Linked DNA regions of Kluyveromyces lactis. The protein of the gene in region 1 interacts with the protein of each later gene in a pairwise test. Links are inferred from orthologs where the notes say so. Each region holds a gene or a part of one and is shown in the gene's direction. Other genes may lie near its edges.

The links.
Region 2: the proteins of VPS21 (region 1) and MRS6 interact in binary tests that used the Saccharomyces cerevisiae proteins (3 or more experiments, as listed by UniProt). The link is inferred for Kluyveromyces lactis from reciprocal best matches to the Saccharomyces cerevisiae genes VPS21 and MRS6.
Region 3: the proteins of VPS21 (region 1) and PEP7 interact in a two-hybrid assay, tested with the Saccharomyces cerevisiae proteins (4 studies listed by BioGRID). The link is inferred for Kluyveromyces lactis from reciprocal best matches to the Saccharomyces cerevisiae genes VPS21 and PEP7.
Region 4: the proteins of VPS21 (region 1) and GDI1 interact in binary tests that used the Saccharomyces cerevisiae proteins (3 or more experiments, as listed by UniProt). The link is inferred for Kluyveromyces lactis from reciprocal best matches to the Saccharomyces cerevisiae genes VPS21 and GDI1.
Region 5: the proteins of VPS21 (region 1) and MUK1 interact in a two-hybrid assay, tested with the Saccharomyces cerevisiae proteins (2 studies listed by BioGRID, with this or other methods). The link is inferred for Kluyveromyces lactis from reciprocal best matches to the Saccharomyces cerevisiae genes VPS21 and MUK1.

The regions. Positions count from the first base shown.
Region 1 is NC_006039.1:1,172,154-1,174,468, forward strand, and holds VPS21 (Rab family GTPase VPS21), read left to right. Parts: upstream 1-1,175; coding exon 1,176-1,802; downstream 1,803-2,315. Other genes in the region: type 2C protein phosphatase PTC5, read left to right, coding at 1-765; KLLA0_C13750g (S-adenosylmethionine-dependent methyltransferase), read left to right, coding at 2,172-2,315.
Region 2 is NC_006040.1:533,119-536,929, reverse strand, and holds MRS6 (GTPase-activating protein MRS6), read left to right. Parts: upstream 1-1,457; coding exon 1,458-3,290; downstream 3,291-3,811. Other genes in the region: KHA1 (Kha1p), read left to right, coding at 1-398; KLLA0_D06215g (uncharacterized protein), read right to left, coding at 3,786-3,811. UniProt on the Saccharomyces cerevisiae protein: Substrate-binding subunit (component A) of the Rab geranylgeranyltransferase (GGTase) complex. Binds unprenylated Rab proteins and presents the substrate peptide to the catalytic component B.
Region 3 is NC_006040.1:1,128,039-1,131,533, reverse strand, and holds PEP7 (phosphatidylinositol-3-phosphate binding protein), read left to right. Parts: upstream 1-1,404; coding exon 1,405-2,979; downstream 2,980-3,495. Other genes in the region: KLLA0_D13200g (uncharacterized protein), read right to left, coding at 1-1,202; NMD2 (Nmd2p), read left to right, coding at 3,262-3,267, 3,351-3,495. UniProt on the Saccharomyces cerevisiae protein: Required for vacuole segregation and vacuole protein sorting. Possibly part of a complex which tethers the vacuole membrane to microtubules, either directly or via kinesin or dynein-like motor proteins.
Region 4 is NC_006042.1:852,930-856,157, forward strand, and holds GDI1 (Gdi1p), read left to right. Parts: upstream 1-1,384; coding exon 1,385-2,722; downstream 2,723-3,228. Other genes in the region: KLLA0_F09163g (putative hydroxyacid dehydrogenase), read right to left, coding at 1-874; Sm-like protein LSM2, read left to right, coding at 3,127-3,228. UniProt on the Saccharomyces cerevisiae protein: Regulates the GDP/GTP exchange reaction of SEC4 by inhibiting the dissociation of GDP from it, and the subsequent binding of GTP to SEC4. Plays an essential role in the yeast secretory pathway.
Region 5 is NC_006041.1:2,073,719-2,077,180, reverse strand, and holds MUK1 (guanine nucleotide exchange factor MUK1), read left to right. Parts: upstream 1-1,418; coding exon 1,419-2,960; downstream 2,961-3,462. Other genes in the region: phosphatidylinositol-3-phosphate-binding protein BEM1, read left to right, coding at 1-139; KLLA0_E23343g (uncharacterized protein), read right to left, coding at 419-949; BTS1 (farnesyltranstransferase), read right to left, coding at 3,016-3,462. UniProt on the Saccharomyces cerevisiae protein: Putative GTPase-activating protein.

The DNA.
Region 1 (2,315 bases):
ACTGTAAAATCCTTAAGTACCGATCAGACTGGTGATAATGTACAAGAGGTCGAGAGAATCCAGAAGGAGCACCCTGATGAACCAAACTGTGTACGTCAGGGTAGAATACTAGGATCTCTCCAACCTTCAAGGGCTTTTGGTGACTACAGGTACAAAGTGAAAGAGATAAATGGGAAAACCGTTTATGATCTACCTGACCATTTGAAGATATATTTCAGGAGGGAACCTAAAGATTTCTTGACACCTCCTTACGTAACAGCAAAGCCGGAAATAACCACAACAAACGTGGACCCTAAAACTAAATTCATGGTTTTAGGATCTGATGGTCTTTTCGAGTTGTTGAGTAATGACGAAATCGCAGGTCTCGTTGTGAAATGGATGGAATCACATCCTATCAAAAAGAATTTCAAAATGTTGAAGGAACAATCTCCACAAGGTAAATTACCAAAGCTAGAAGACATCTCCCCAGACAAAGAAGCACAAAGGCCTGCTTTTAGGTACCAAAGCTCCAAAAAACCTGACTCTAAGAGCGAATATCTCATGCAAGACGAAAACGTAGCAACTCATCTAATCAGAAACGCTCTCAGTGGAGGCGGTAACAAAGAATACGTTTCTACATTGGTCAGTATACCTCCAACGAAGAGTAGACGTTACAGAGACGACTTGACTGTCACCGTTGTCTTTTTCGGTGAAGAAACTGAGGGCATTGATGGTAAATTAGAACTCAACCACAAAGCCACCAAACCAGAAGAATCTAAACTCTGAACCCGCAGTCTTAGCATAAAAGTGTTGTTATTTAGTTAAATAACCGTTTTTGACACTTATATAAACACACTGATTCGAAGGAAGGTTCACCAAGCACGTGACCTACTATCAACATTCAAAAGCCTTGTTTTCGTTATGGGAAAAGATACTAAAACTAAATAAAACTAAAAAAAGGATGAACGATGCTCCCTACTTTTATTGAAACGTAACGTTTACAACCGGAGTAGCAGATTGCTCTATCGGTAACAAGAGTGTACGAATTAGTTTTTGAGATTGTAGACAGACACATTTTCTTCTAAACAATCTCTCGAGCATACAGTCATCATATTAACCAACTTTCGAAGAAGAAATCTTGATTTACCTGGTCGTCATTGATATTAAGGTCATTTTCAGTTGTAAGGTACTAGGAAATGAATTCAAACGTTACGTCTATCAAGTTGGTACTCCTAGGAGAAGCTGCGGTGGGGAAATCTTCCATTGTTTTGCGCTTTGTGTCCAATGATTTTGCTGAGAATAAAGAACCCACTATTGGAGCAGCCTTTCTAACACAGCGAGTAAATATGGCTGACCACACAATAAAGTTTGAAATCTGGGATACTGCTGGTCAGGAAAGATTTGCATCGTTGGCCCCAATGTATTATAGAAATGCTCAAGCAGCTTTAGTGGTTTATGATGTAACAAAGCCGCAGTCATTTATCAAGGCTCGCCACTGGGTAAAAGAATTACACGAACAAGCGAGCAAAGGGATTGTAATCGCATTGGTTGGAAATAAGATGGATTTGTTGGAATCTGAAGAGGATAGGAAAGTAGCCAAAGAAGAGGCTGAAAAATTGTCACAGGAAGAGAACCTTTTATTCTTCGAGACTAGCGCTAAGACTGGTGATAACGTCAACGAAGTGTTCTTGGCCATTGGAGAGAAAATACCCTTAAAGAAGTCGGATGGGTCCAATACCGATGGGTTACGTGGAACAGAAGATGGAAGGATCGACTTGAACAAACCCGATGATACCTCGAATCCCAACTCATGTGGTTGTTAATACTCACGACCCTATCCTCTTTTTAGGGGAAATGGCCTAACGAAATGATTCATATTAACAATCGATGAAATTAATTTTAACCAGAGGAAAGGAGCCAATAGAACAAGATATCTACCGTGCCTATAATATTCCAATATCATCATAGTAGAAGTTTAAGATAACCAGTAATACATAAATCAGTTAGATTTACATTTTTTGTACCTACATTTTATTTCTATATATATTGGCGTAGTGAATTTTTCGGATCCCCGTATTGATCGATTATTCATGAATTCAATCATAGAGAACTCTATTCAGGTAATGAGATGTATGAATGATGATACATGCGTGATGAAACTCTAAAGGATTCAACCTGGGTTTTAAATTGTCATGGATGGCCAAGATGAGGAGAATGATGTGCTATTATTGGAGCGTACTGCTAGCTCGTTTTTTCGTTACAAGGAATTTGCGTTAGAAGAGTTCTGGCGACCCAGAATACTTAGGTGGGAATCACTGTCCGAGCATCAGAAACAA
Region 2 (3,811 bases), on another chromosome or scaffold:
TTGTTCATCAACAACCCACATCAGTTCTTGTATATCTACTAAATTCAACTTTAACTGGTTCTGACTATATGGCCTTGTTCTTGGGATTAGTGATGGGATTACATGCCAAGACTATCAAAATTGTTACCGTTTCAGAGCATCTGGTTGCTCTTGGAGAACTGCAAGAGATTCTCAGATCCTCCATTCTGATAAAATTGGATATTACAACTATATCGACTAACGAAACTGATTCCGCAGTTGCGAGTGTTGATGTCTTCAATGACATCGAACTTAATAATAAGAGTTTGGTGGTATTACCACAAGATTCTATAAAGTCTACATGTTTAGACGATTATTCTAAAGTGCTTGTAACGAAAGCTTCTAAAAGTGGTTCTACGGTAGCCATCTGTCATAGGTGAACAACAACGAACCCTAAATGTTTAATGGTTCAGTAGTTCCCGATTACTACCCTGTTTATTCAATATTTCGTCTACTTATATAAGCATTTAATAACACCACTGAGCTGTGCTTTAGTATAGAGTTGGGCAATCCGTTATCAATTACCAGTAAATCCATGCATTAGAAACATTATATCTGTCCTGATTCTAGATTCTGGTTCCGAATCTGAGTTTCACAATTGAAAAAGGTGATTAACTCAAATTTGTATACAATAAGATAATATGACGCGACAGTATTATTATCACGTGCACATGCCAGCACTAAAAATGAAATATGTCGCACTGTCGCTGTAATTTTACCATAGTAAAGTTTTGTCTGAAAGCACAGCAAGTTTAAACGATCCCTGAATAAAAATACCCTGACACGTTTAGTTTCCACATCATTTTAAAGCGATATTTCATTTCAAGCTGGGGCTCTGATTGCTATTGTTTCCGGTATTGTTCTGTCGATAATAACGGGAAATGATTCACGAGTTTAAAAAAAAATTTCTCGTTGCCAGCCGTGAAGATAAAAAAAAAAAAAAAAAAAAAATTGAAAACACATACTCATTATCTGTGCGAATTAAATACAGTTTTTAAAGGCGTAACTAAGATACATATCCATTAAAGTTTCCACCTCAGAATACCACAGGTACGTGGTACAAATAAACTGTTATTATCGAAAAGCACCAACCTTTCTAAAGCTAGAACCTGGAATAAGAAGCAGATCGAAAGAGTGCTGTTTTTGTCATTCTTTGAGCGATATTGGCGGTTGAGAATTTTTTTTTGGTTCTTGCAAACCGCTCAAAATTAGGCTTTACAGAATTCCTAATAACATTACAGGAACCTGTGAATAATCTCATTACTAGTAAAATTCCAACCTCTGAACCGTATCAGGCTATTTTTGGAATTTCTAAGGTCGTTCATATCTGACTTTTTGTTCTCTCGCTTTTCCCTTAAAGAGACATAAGAACTGGTTATAGAATAAGCTATATTTAATCTAAAGTCTCGGTTAAACACTACAAGCGGAAAAAAATTAAAATGCTGAATGCCGAGCGCCGCCCTTCTATGGCGGAACGTCGTCCTTCCTTCTTTTCTCCCGGTCCTGACGGCTCCTTACAATCAACTTCCCTCGTTGTGCCACATTTGGCTGGTATCGAGGATCCTTTACCGGAAACTACACCGGAACAAGTGGATGTACTCATTGCTGGTACCGGGTTGATTGAAAGTATTCTATCTGCTTCTTTAGCATGGCAGGGATCCACCGTTTTGCATATAGATTCCAATAACTATTATGGGGACACATGGGCTACAATGACAATTGATCAGTTGAAGAATTGGACAAATCAAGTGAATGAAGACTCAGACGAAACACGGTTTTACAAAGATGCCAGACTCTATGTCTCCGGGTTGGTAGCTCAGGGGAAATTCAAATCCAAGAATTTTGGTATTGATTTAAGTCCCAAGATTCTATTTGCACAATCCGATCTACTCTCAGTTCTAATTAAATCAAGAGTACATCAGTATTTGGAGTTCCAATCGTTATCCAACTTCCATACCTTTGAGAATGATAACTTTGAAAGGTTAACGAACTCGAAACAAGAAATATTTACTGACCAAACTCTTCCATTGATGACGAAACGCAATTTAATGCGTTTCATTAAATTTGTGCTAGAATGGGAAAAAAGCACGGACATTTGGAAACCATACGCTGAACAGCCACTTGCTAGTTTCCTAGTCGATAAATTCAAGCTAGAAAAACCTCAAGTTTTTGAATTAATATTTTCAATTGGTATGTGTCGTAATCTGGATACTAAGACACCAGAAGGTTTAGCAAGGATCAGAAGATTTTTAACTAGTTTTGACGTTTACGGACCTTTCCCAGTCCTATATTCAAAGTATGGTGGGCCGGGAGAACTATCTCAAGGATTCTGCAGATCAGCAGCAGTGGCTGGTGCCACTTATAAACTCAATCATAAATTGGTATCATACGATCCGAACTCCCAGACTGCGGTTTTTGAAGACGGTTCAAGAGTAAGAGTCACAGAAAAGGTTGTCGCATCCCCTACCCAACATCCCCAGAATGGCGGTAACATTCCTCCCCAGAAGTACGAAGTGCATAGGCTCACTTGTGTTGTGGAAAAAGACTGCTCACAGTGGTTCAGTGAAGGAGAAAGTGCTGCTATGGTCGTGTTCCCACCTGATTCATTGAAGACAGGAAACGTTGAAGCCGTACAGGTGGTGATTTTAGGCTCAGGAGCCGAAGTTTGCGAACCAGGTACTTGCGTTTGGTACTTCTCAACCACTCAAGCCGGTCCTCGAGGTGATTTGGACCTTGATGCTGCACTTGAAGCAATGATCAATAGTATTTTAAGGGAGTCCTCGGATATACCCAATGAGGATGAACTTGTACAAATCAATTCAAATGGCGTTCCACTAGTCAACAGTGTAAAACTGGGACAGTCGTTCAAAGAACTCATTTCAAAAGAACGGGTAAACTTCATCATGAAATTGTACTATACTCAATACACATCCACTCCTCCATTTGATATTGTTACTCCAGACTTATTTGATTTGAATAAATCTAAAGAATTTATTCCTGGCGCATCAGATAATGGAATTCTTTATACTTCGTTGCCATCAGGAGAAGTGTCATATGATGAAGTTATTACTGCAGCAAAGTTCCTTTATGAAAAAATAGTAGGAAGTGATGACGATTTCTTCGACCTTGATTTTGAAAATGACGAACCAGATCTAAAAAATACCAATAAAACAATTAATAGCTACGATGAAAGTGCTATCGCAGATGATGAAGAAGATATTCAAATGATGGACTCAGAGCCAGTTGAATTTGCAGGCGAGATGGAAATATGACATAGCGTCAAGCTTCTTCAAGTTTTCAAGCGACAATGCTTTCAATTCCAATAGCATCAGTATTCCTTCTTTGACAGATTGATTGAAATAACCCGATGTGTCTAACCTTGTATTATATGGAATTATCTATCCACAAAAGAAAAAAGTGACATCTTCTAGATAAGATTTGCGTCACATAAGCATATTTTGGATCCAGCTGTATTTCTTACTGCGAATTGCACTCTTTGATATAAACATACCTTTATTCAACCCACTACCTGGGAATCTTAAAACGAAACGTTATTTAAGTTATCCATAGAAGGCAGATGCAGGAAAAATTCATACTTGTTTTCAGTTCCTGGAAATCAAAAATAGCAAAACCTTAATTAAGATTATACATGATATTAACCTAACTTCTCATACATAAAGTTAACAAAAGAATAGTGTTCGGCTTCTTAACTGCTCTTTGATTTAATTGTCATTCTCGAAAGCGAGGAAAAAACATTAAATTAAAGCTCAGAGGCGGCTTCTTATCTCCAGTA
Region 3 (3,495 bases), on another chromosome or scaffold:
TGATGTTCTAATCTTAGAACCAAGAAGTCAAACATATTGGCGAATGTGACAGCTAAGGGGTCCTTTTCAGTACTTTTATTGTCGAAGAATTCATAACTAAAATCTGTTGGAAACTTAAATGAGTGTACTATAATTTTAGGCACTTTTACAAGCCACACGTCAGTCAATTTATAAACACAGTAAACCAAAAAAATCACCTGAAACATCCGCTTTAAACTCCTAAGCTCTTTTGGACCCTGCAAGATACCGCTTAATTTCACCAGTTCAAGTTGATACCATGCAATTCGTTCTCTCAGTTGTACTGTGGTCATGATGTCAGCTTGGTTTGAGGAAGAAGTGAGCCTACACAACAACGAGGTATCTTTCTCAATACATTCTTCATAATTCCTGATTCGATCCCGTATCACAGACTCACTAGACCACAACAGATCAACATTGTTATGTATAGTGTATTTTGTATCTCTTTTGTTCCGATGTCTAAAATATTGATAGGCATAATACGGTGTGGAGACTGATGCCAATCCGGACAAAATTCCCATTACAGTCACACCGATCACTGATGCCTTAGTCAATAGATTATATGTGTAGCCAAACGGTCCAATGGTAAGGAAATGCAAGAAAGTTAGCCATAGAATAGTAATGCCAATGGTTACCGGCACTAATTTGTGCATGCTGACCTTGTCTTCGAAGAATTTCGTCAACAAGAACACCAGTATCAGGAAAGGTTGTATCAAAATCAATGAGATGAACAATAAAGCTAACAAGCCTGGCCATATAATTGACGTCACCAAGTTAGCCTCGGCATTGGGGTCTGCTACTTTTATCTGCCATAATACAATTTCAACTGCTACAACGTAAGCAGAAAATGTAGCACAAAATATGACTCGTACTGCATTGTAAACCTTTCTAGAAGACAACGAATACTCGGAATAGAACTTGTGAAAGAAGCTACTGTTTGAATCTGGCAAAGATATCACAGTAGCAGGATCTGACTCATTGTTCGTTAATGTAGAAGATGGTAGAATATCAAATAACTTCTGGATTTTAAACCATAGTACATGATATGATCTATCGAAAACCAACCAAAACGTTAATAGACAAAACAGCAGAATGAACATATCATCAAGGATCAATTGGCTTAAACACGTTGATCCGTTCGGAGTAGTAATAAGTGTTGTATAGACTAATGTAACGTGTCTCATACCATTACGCAAAGGTTTTGTTAGATCGTCAAGCTTAATGTTCTCTTTAATTGCATTTGAAAAGCATGAAACGAAAGTTAACGATTCGAAGCTTTTATTCCTAAGGGGAGGAAGGAACTAAGTCTCACAGTTGGATTATTCAAGCTAGTTCCTTTCCATGGGATTTATGATGGTGAGGTAGTATATCTATTTATAAAGCCCAATGACAGAAGGAAATGGAAGGTGGTTGGGCTCGGCGAGTTCGACTGGACAACATGATAGAAATGTCGAGGCCGTAACTTGCCCAGTTTGCGGAAATGAGTTGAAGAGTTTGAGAAAGCTCAACGTCCACTTGGACAATGTACACGGTTTTAACGATGAAAGTGCGTCCGATGTCGATAGCTCAAGAGAGTCAAGTGTCATTGGTTTGAACACATTGGTTCAAGAAAGGACTCATGAAAGACAGAGTAAGGGGAAATTAAAGATGAATACATCTCACTGGAAGAAACCAGTAGAAGGCAAATCGGTATGTTTTGAGTGCGGTTGTAAGTTAAACGCCAGAAACGGTATGATCAATTGCCGCAAATGCGGCGAACTTTTCTGTTTAAGGCATTGTAGAAATGCCATCAAGTTGAATGAAAACGGTGAATACGATCCGGCGAGCAATGTATGGTGTAAATGTTGTCACAAGTGTTATATCAATAGGAAAGGTTACAATGACTACGGACTGACTAGAAATATAACACAAGCTTTCGCTAAGATAAGAAAGTTGAAGAACGAGGATGGAGAACTTATCACTTTGCAGCTAGAAAACAGGCTATTGAGACTAATAAATGGGATAATTCAATTACATGTACGACATCAGTCATCGGTCTTTGCAACGTTCAGGATCAGAGCAGGAATTATAGCTTTGGAACGATCAATCGTAGAGTGGAAGGATGATCAAATGGCAACCCAATGCGGCATATGCTCTCAGCCGTTTGGACTCTTGATGCGGAAACATCATTGTAGATTATGCGGTCAGATCGTGTGCGATAGACAAGAAACTCGATGTTCCAGCGATATTCCAGTCCTGAACCTGATGAGTGCGGCCCCAGACCTTTCCTTCGAGAATGTCGGGAACTTAAAAGCAATATCAGACCTTTCTACAGGAGTTAGAATTTGTTCCTCCTGTCTGAGGTATGTCTTTGCAAAGCGTAAGCTCCAATTTAGTAAGGCATTGAAACTACCGGAAATTTTACAACAGTACGAAAATCTCCACAACCTCGAAACGCTTGTAGTAAATTTACTCCCCAGATTCCAGAAAGCATTAGATTCGATACATAATGCACCCGCTTCAGATGAGACTGCGATTCAAAACCTAGCACAATTAAGAAGAAAGCTATTACAAAATTTAACGCTTTATGACAAATTATCAAAAAGCATTGTTCAGTTGGATACAAAATCAACAGCAGAGAAGAAAATACAACAGTCAATTGCCCTACATGCATCAGCGTTCATCGAGGAGAAAATGCTACCCTTGAAAAAAATACCAGAAATCTTGAACCCTGTGTCACAGAAAGTAGAAGTCACAACATCATCGGATCTTTTGTTCAATAATTTAACAATTGCGGAAGTAAAGAAGTACAGAGAAGAACTTATGGTTTTGAATGAACAACGATACTTAGTCGAAAATATGCTTAATTCAGCTGCCAAGGAAAGGCGCTTCGAGGAAGCGATATCCTTGAAAACTAATCTTTCAGAAATTGATCAGAACATAGTGCATTTAGAAAGTAAGCTAGGTGATGAAGGCTTTTAAAATTATTATTTAACACTCAATTAGGTGTATATTCTATTGAACCATATAAACACTCTTCTATCACAAGCACGATAATATAAATGCAACCAAAACTCTATCCGTTTCGCTCTGTAACTTATTGTCGAGATGCCAGTATGAGAAAGCCCTTTGAATAAAAAAAAAATCCTGTGAAATGTTAATTCTACCAAAGTCATCGAACAAAAGTTCTGTTGAAATCACGTCACAGCGACAGCAAGAACTTTACGCACCGACTTTGAACCTATCCAATCGTCAAATAACATAATGAACGTATGTGTACGCTTTTAAGTGGTCGAGAGTTTTCGAGAATACTAACAGAAAGCCTTGCTTTTATGGATTGAATTTGTGTTTAGAATGAATGGAGATCAAGCTTGAATGAAATTAACAGTATGGCGTGGACCGGGATTGACGTATTCCCTGATAAAGCCAAGAAACTTGATTCTAGTATTAAGAGGAATACGGGTTTCATTAAGAAGTTGAAGCAGGGTATTGCAAAGG
Region 4 (3,228 bases), on another chromosome or scaffold:
GAAAAGTTTTGTTGATCATGTGATGTGTTGATGCATTTCCTGGTAGACATATTACAATGCAATCAAACGTTTCAAGGCATGGACTGCTTCCATGCGCATCCTGAAAATCAGACTCAAGTAGCTCAGAGATTGGATGGAATTGCCACTTCTGGATATAAGTGTCCGAGCTTATTTGTTCTTTTGTAACCGGATTTCTCTGCGTGTAATGTATTTCCATTCCTAATCCGGAATCCAATTTCCTACCACACTGGATTCCAATACGTCCAAGTCCCATAATGAGACATCTCTTGTTCCGACAACTTTCATTAAAGGTTCCTCGTTTCCATCTGTGCCCAAATTCGAACCTTGGTGAATTGTTTTCACCGTGTTCCAGTACGATTTCTGAACGAGCCTTGATAGTGTTTCTTGCTGATCTCAATGCATGTGCCTGACTTGAGAATTTCCGAAACCCATCTAGAACGTGCCAGAGGACGCAATCTGCAACGTCGTTGGCTACAATTCCAGAGTCCTGTATCATGTCGTCATAATTGTACAGTTGAATGCCCTTTTCCCGTAGTGACTTCAGGTCGAGCCAATTGTAACCTACAGAACACAGACATATGCACTTGATCGACCCAGGCCAACGATGATCATCCAAGATTTCTGCACTCAAACCACCTAAGGGAGCGAATTGTGGATACCCTCCAAATATTCCGACAATTGGACCCTTTTGCTTCGAATGCTGGTCCAAGAAAGTTAGAAATGCTTCCTTACCAGTGCCATCAACATCTCGTTCAAGTGTGTAATTAACCGTGTTGAACTCTTTTTGCAAAAGCTTATATTCCTGTAAACTGTATTCAGGTTCAGCTATGAATAGTATCCATGGCCTGTCCATCGTGAAACGAAGTTTGGGACAAATGAGGGAATATGGTTTTGTGTATAAACTTTGCAGTGAAGGGATCCGAGTTTTTCTCTGCCAACCCAGGATCGTCTTTGTTATAATTAATATTGAAACCTCCGTTCACAGATCTGGGTCACGTGAAGAAAACTTCAGTCACTATTTTACGATATTGGTTGAACTGACATACTACCTTTCGAGGTGCTGAACATTCCTGGATCTTCAGCAATTTATGAGCATCTGAAATTGTCCAACTAGTTTGTTAACGCTCGAGATCAATGCCTGAACTGAATGCAGTTATATGCGTCTAGAACGTTTGTCTTTTAACCTTGAATTAGTGTTGAAAATAAAGAAAGTGCGATTGTTACAATAAAAATAACAATAATAGGGAGGATCATAGTATTTAGCAAGAAAACAATAACGACTTCAAACGTAGGGCTACCTTCAACTAGATAGGAAACGTTGGACCTAGTTCATAGAACGTCGAATTGACAAAAGCTTGTAATAATGGACGAAAATTATGATGTTATCGTCCTTGGGACAGGTCTTACCGAGTGTATATTATCTGGCTTACTCTCAATCGAGGGGAAAAAAGTCTTACATGTTGACAGACAGGACCATTATGGTGGTGAATCATCCAGTGTCACATTAACGCAACTATACTCTAAATTCAAACAACATCCTTTGAGTAAGGAAGACATTGAGTCAAAGTTTGGCAAGGATAGAGATTGGAACGTGGATTTGATTCCTAAGTTCTTGATGGCGAATGGTGAATTGACTAACATTTTGGTTCATACTGACGTCACCAGATATATCGAGTTCAAGCAAGTTGCTGGCTCGTACGTTTACAACAGAGGTAAAGTATATAAAGTTCCTGCTAACGAAATGGAGGCTATTTCATCTTCTTTATTGGGTATCTTCGAGAAAAGAAGGATGAAGAAGTTCTTGGAATGGATCAGTGCATACAATGAAGAAGATATCGCCACACATCAGGGCTTAAACTTGGATCAAAACACTATGGATGAGGTATACTACAAATTTGGCTTAGGAAATTCAACCAGAGAATTTATTGGACACGCAATGGCCCTTTGGACCAATGACGATTATCTGCAACAACCTGCTAGACCATCAGTGGAAAGAATTATCCTATATGTGCAATCGATTTCCAGGTTTGGTAAATCTCCATATATTTACCCTATGTATGGGTTGGGCGAATTGCCTCAAGGATTTGCTAGATTATCAGCTATTTACGGTGGGACATACATGCTAAATACCCCAATTGAAAAGGTTTTATACTCAGACGATGGTAAATTCGAAGGTATTGTCACCAAAGAAGGTACTGCAAAAGCACCAATAGTCATCGCAGATCCAACATACTTCCCTGAGAAATGTAAAACTACAGGTGAAAAGGTGATCAGAGCAATTTGCATCACTAAACAACCTGTTCCTAACACTAGTAATGCTGATTCTTGCCAAATAATTATACCACAATCACAAGTTGGAAGAAAGAACGACATTTATATTGCTACTGTCTCTGACGCCCATAAAGTTACTTCGAAGGGTCATTACCTCGCCAGTGTATCAACCATCATTGAAACTGATAAACCTCATATCGAATTAGAGCCGGCTTTCAAAATGTTGGGCCCAATTGAGGAGAGGTTCATGGGTATTTCAGAAATCTTTGAACCGATCGAAGATGGCACTAAAGACAACATTTACATCTCTAAATCTTACGATTCCTCATCTCACTTCGAATCCATGACCGACGATGTCAAGGATATCTACTTTAGGATTACTGGTCACCCCCTTGTTTTAAAGAAGAGAGAAGATGTTGCAGAGGAGTAAGTGAGAACTACGAGATAACCGTGATGCTAACTTTTGAAAATATCGTACCTTCACGTACTTCTACGTACTTTTACGTTACTTTCTTGTTTCGTTACAATCTTTATCATTATCATTTTATTTTTGTCTATTTACTATCTAGCCCCACATATTAGCTTGAATGTTTTGGCAATAGTTTTATTTCAGCAATCGACGTAAAAATATCCCAGCTAGTCCTCTTAAGTCCAGCAGCTTCTCTACTTCTACATATGAAGTTGTGTATGTCAATTTTGTACATGTATCTTTTTTTTTTCCTTCAACATGAAATTGTTTAAAACAATTTCATGTTGAAATTTGACAATACAACTACAACACATTCAAAAGTCAAATGCATGGACCTCTGAACCAAGGCCGTACTGTCCAGAACCATGCTATTATTTTCATTTTTCAAGACCCTGGTTGATCATGAAGTCAAAGTCGAACTAAAGAACGGTATTGAACTAACAGGTACTCTAAAATCAGTCGACCAA
Region 5 (3,462 bases), on another chromosome or scaffold:
AATAGCACCTAGAATTGACGCAGATTCTTTTAAGTTGTACATCAAAAACGGAGATGATATTGGCACTCAAGTCACTACTGATGCAGAAGTACCGGTTCTAATTCAAGAGAAACGCAAGATCTTTGTCGATGACAGCTAAGTTATTTGTTGCAAAATTTTATCGTCATAATAAATAATACAAAAAGAACCCCAAGGTGGTCAAAATTCAATTTCTATCCACTGATGGCTTTCATGCTTATCATAATGATGTACTGTACATCGCATTGTAATACTTCAACATAATTTTGACATTAACACTCTTATATTCTTTCACATTAATTCAGTTCAACAAGTAAAAATCAGTTGTTTACATACTCTCTCTATAGGTGTTAATACTTCTATCAAAATGATAATAATACTTCACAAACATGTCTAAGGACTATTCATCCAGCTCTATGTCCATGTCTGCATCCGCGTACGGATCTGTATCGAGATCCATGTCAATGTCCATGTCCGCATTGTGATCAAACTCATCATTTCTATGCATGAGATTCGGTGCCAGATCAACTCTGGAATCTGCTGCAGTCTCAACATTCATATCTACTTCATCTAATTTTGGACTATGCTGTTGGTACCATTTTACCCACAAGCTTGCTACCACAGATCGCCAGTCATACCATTTTATTACCTGCGAGTTAAACTGTCGTACATGATCGAATATTCTTTCATATATCTTATCATTTTTGTTTGAACCACTCAATTCGCGTTCAACTACATCCCACATCCTTTTATTTACAACTGCTTTGAATGAGTTCAACCCTGAATCAATTTTATGTTTCTTTATCCCATCGGTTCCCCTAGGAGCCAACGATAGGTTTTCGAAATCATATATTAGCCGTTGTTTCTTATAGTTATCGATTCCTATCGGGTCAGGACTCCTTGACCTCTTCATCTTGAAGCCTGATGACATTGTATAGCTAATACCTTGCTCATTCGCAGTGAACTATTCTAAGCAGATGATCTGTTCGCTGCTACTTTTGTAGGTGTTGTTTCGTTTGTCCTAATTTATCTTATGGCCAACCGAGAACTTTCTGGAAGCTTAAAATGAAGATCATTAGAAATGTTTGTAAATTCACCCGTTAAGAAAGTTTCGTAGATGAAGCTGATACTACAGGTACTGGTTATCTTTTTCTTGTTAGATATCTCTTGATCGAGCCTTCAATATTGCCTTTAATATGCTTTTTTTCTTTTGTTTCTTCTAAGAGATATGTATTTGATCTTCTTCATAATTAAGGGTTTCGAATGTCTTTTTCATACTGAAACATTTAGTTCACAGCAACTTGGTTTACTTCAACAACGTTATAAGAAAAAGTTTATGATTTCTATCACTGCAAGCTTGTGAATCATCTTTGGACCTGCTCATGTATGGCAATTGAGCTATGTTCCATACTCCCCCATTTTCTAATGCTTCTTTCGATACTAAACAATCCATCACTGAATCTTATCGCGATAGTTTGAATTCGACGATTTCCAATAATAGCGATGCAAAGAAACCGAATGTCATGCTTCAAACTGCCAGCACATCGGCACCTCCATCACCAGAACTACCAATAGAATCTTCAGAATCCAATGATGATTTGATTCCCATTGCTAGTATACCTGATGAATTGATGAAATTGATTGATTTGTTCATTGATGATTTGAAACAGCCTAAATATTCCAGGCCTTTAATGATTACACAATTATCTCAGATATTCCAAAGGTTTTATGAGAGATTTGATAGATCTTGCCAACAACATTTTAATGCATTAGCCTCGCCTGGAAGTGTGAATGTTATGCTCAACGCGAGAGAAACGAGAAATAGTGGATTGAGTAGTATCTTCAACAGATCCAGAAGTAGTAGTTTTCGAAATAGCAGCATAAGAACAAGAACTAGAACTAATTCTGAACAGAATTATCAGCAATTGTTGACTCCAGAAGAAATATCCCATCAAATTAAGCTGCAAGAGGCTAATAATATCAAAACGGACCAGATTATGGATTTGTGTGAATGCGAAATATTCAAGAAAATACTGCAAGTTGGCACTTGTGTCCCAAATCATCCAACAAGACAGGCGAAATCGACTAGTTCGAATGAATGGAAAATGACAAGCCTATTTCGTAATAATCCGGAGTTTATTGAGTTTGATAAGATGTTGAATACTAAATTGAACACGATGAAAGAGTTAAGCAGTTCGCGAATACTTGATTTACCAGCATTTTTAGCGTTAGAGTTGAAACATAAAGAAAGACTTGATATGGTAGGGTTATTATTTGATAAGATGTTACATGAGAATGTATCCCCTTGCGACAAGGTACATTGCCTAATAGTATTGCATGATAAGCTATTGGCTCTTGATCAAAATAACGCTGATGAGATACTTCCTTCGATGATATATCTCTTGATAACAAATCCTCGAAAAGAATTGTTTTTGAACCTCCAGTTCATCAAGCTTTTCAGATTCCATCGAAGGTTGAAAGAGAAAGAATTATATGTCACTACGAATTTTGAAGCCGCGATATCTTTCATTGACTCGTTGACAACTAAGGATATAATAACATATTGCCAACACACTGATGAATTAAAACTTCCGCATTTGGAGTCTATCAGTGAACAAGTGAAACTTCCTCTAGCGACAGAGGAGTCATTTATACCGGATTTCAAAAGGTCTAACTCTCTTTCTGATTTAATATCTGTTGGTAATGTTATTGATTCTGGTTTTAGAAACTTGATGGGTCGCATCAAAACTTATACCCCGCCACCGCCACCACCACCACCGCATGTAGCACAGATACAGGTACCGCTACCAAGCATCGAGGTTACCGAGGGTCCTGCTACCGATTGGAGAAGGTACAAGGATTATAAATTCGAGGACTTGAAGGTTAGTGATATGCAAAGTATATTTGATATATATCGTGATTTAGCTAATAAAAATAAATAATGATGAGGAAGCTAATGAATTAATATATAAGATGGTCGTAATCAATATAATAGAATTAGTCTAACTGGGAGAGTTTCGACAATATATCTTTAACTGAAGAAAGCTCCTTTGGAACCAATTCAGTAGTAACTTTTTGTGCAAGAGTTTGGATAACCTGTCTGGTATATTCACCAGACTTTGTCTGGTGCTCCAAATAACTGAGCAATTTCTCTTTAGTACGAATCTCTGAAGGCCTTGATAAAACTGTTTTAAGGACATAATCATCGTTATCACCTTCATTCCTTGAACTAGCTATGGCATGAATTATTGGGAAGGAAAATTTCCCCTCGGTTAGATCATCAGCGAATCCCTTCTGTTCAAACATTGTCTTGGAGAATAGATTTAAATAGTCATCTCGTATTTGATACAAGATCCCAGCTGCATTAGCTAACGGTATAAGATCATATTTCTGTGCAAGCTCTTTTTTCGACAAGGCATGTAAAAGTCTCACCATTAACCTAAA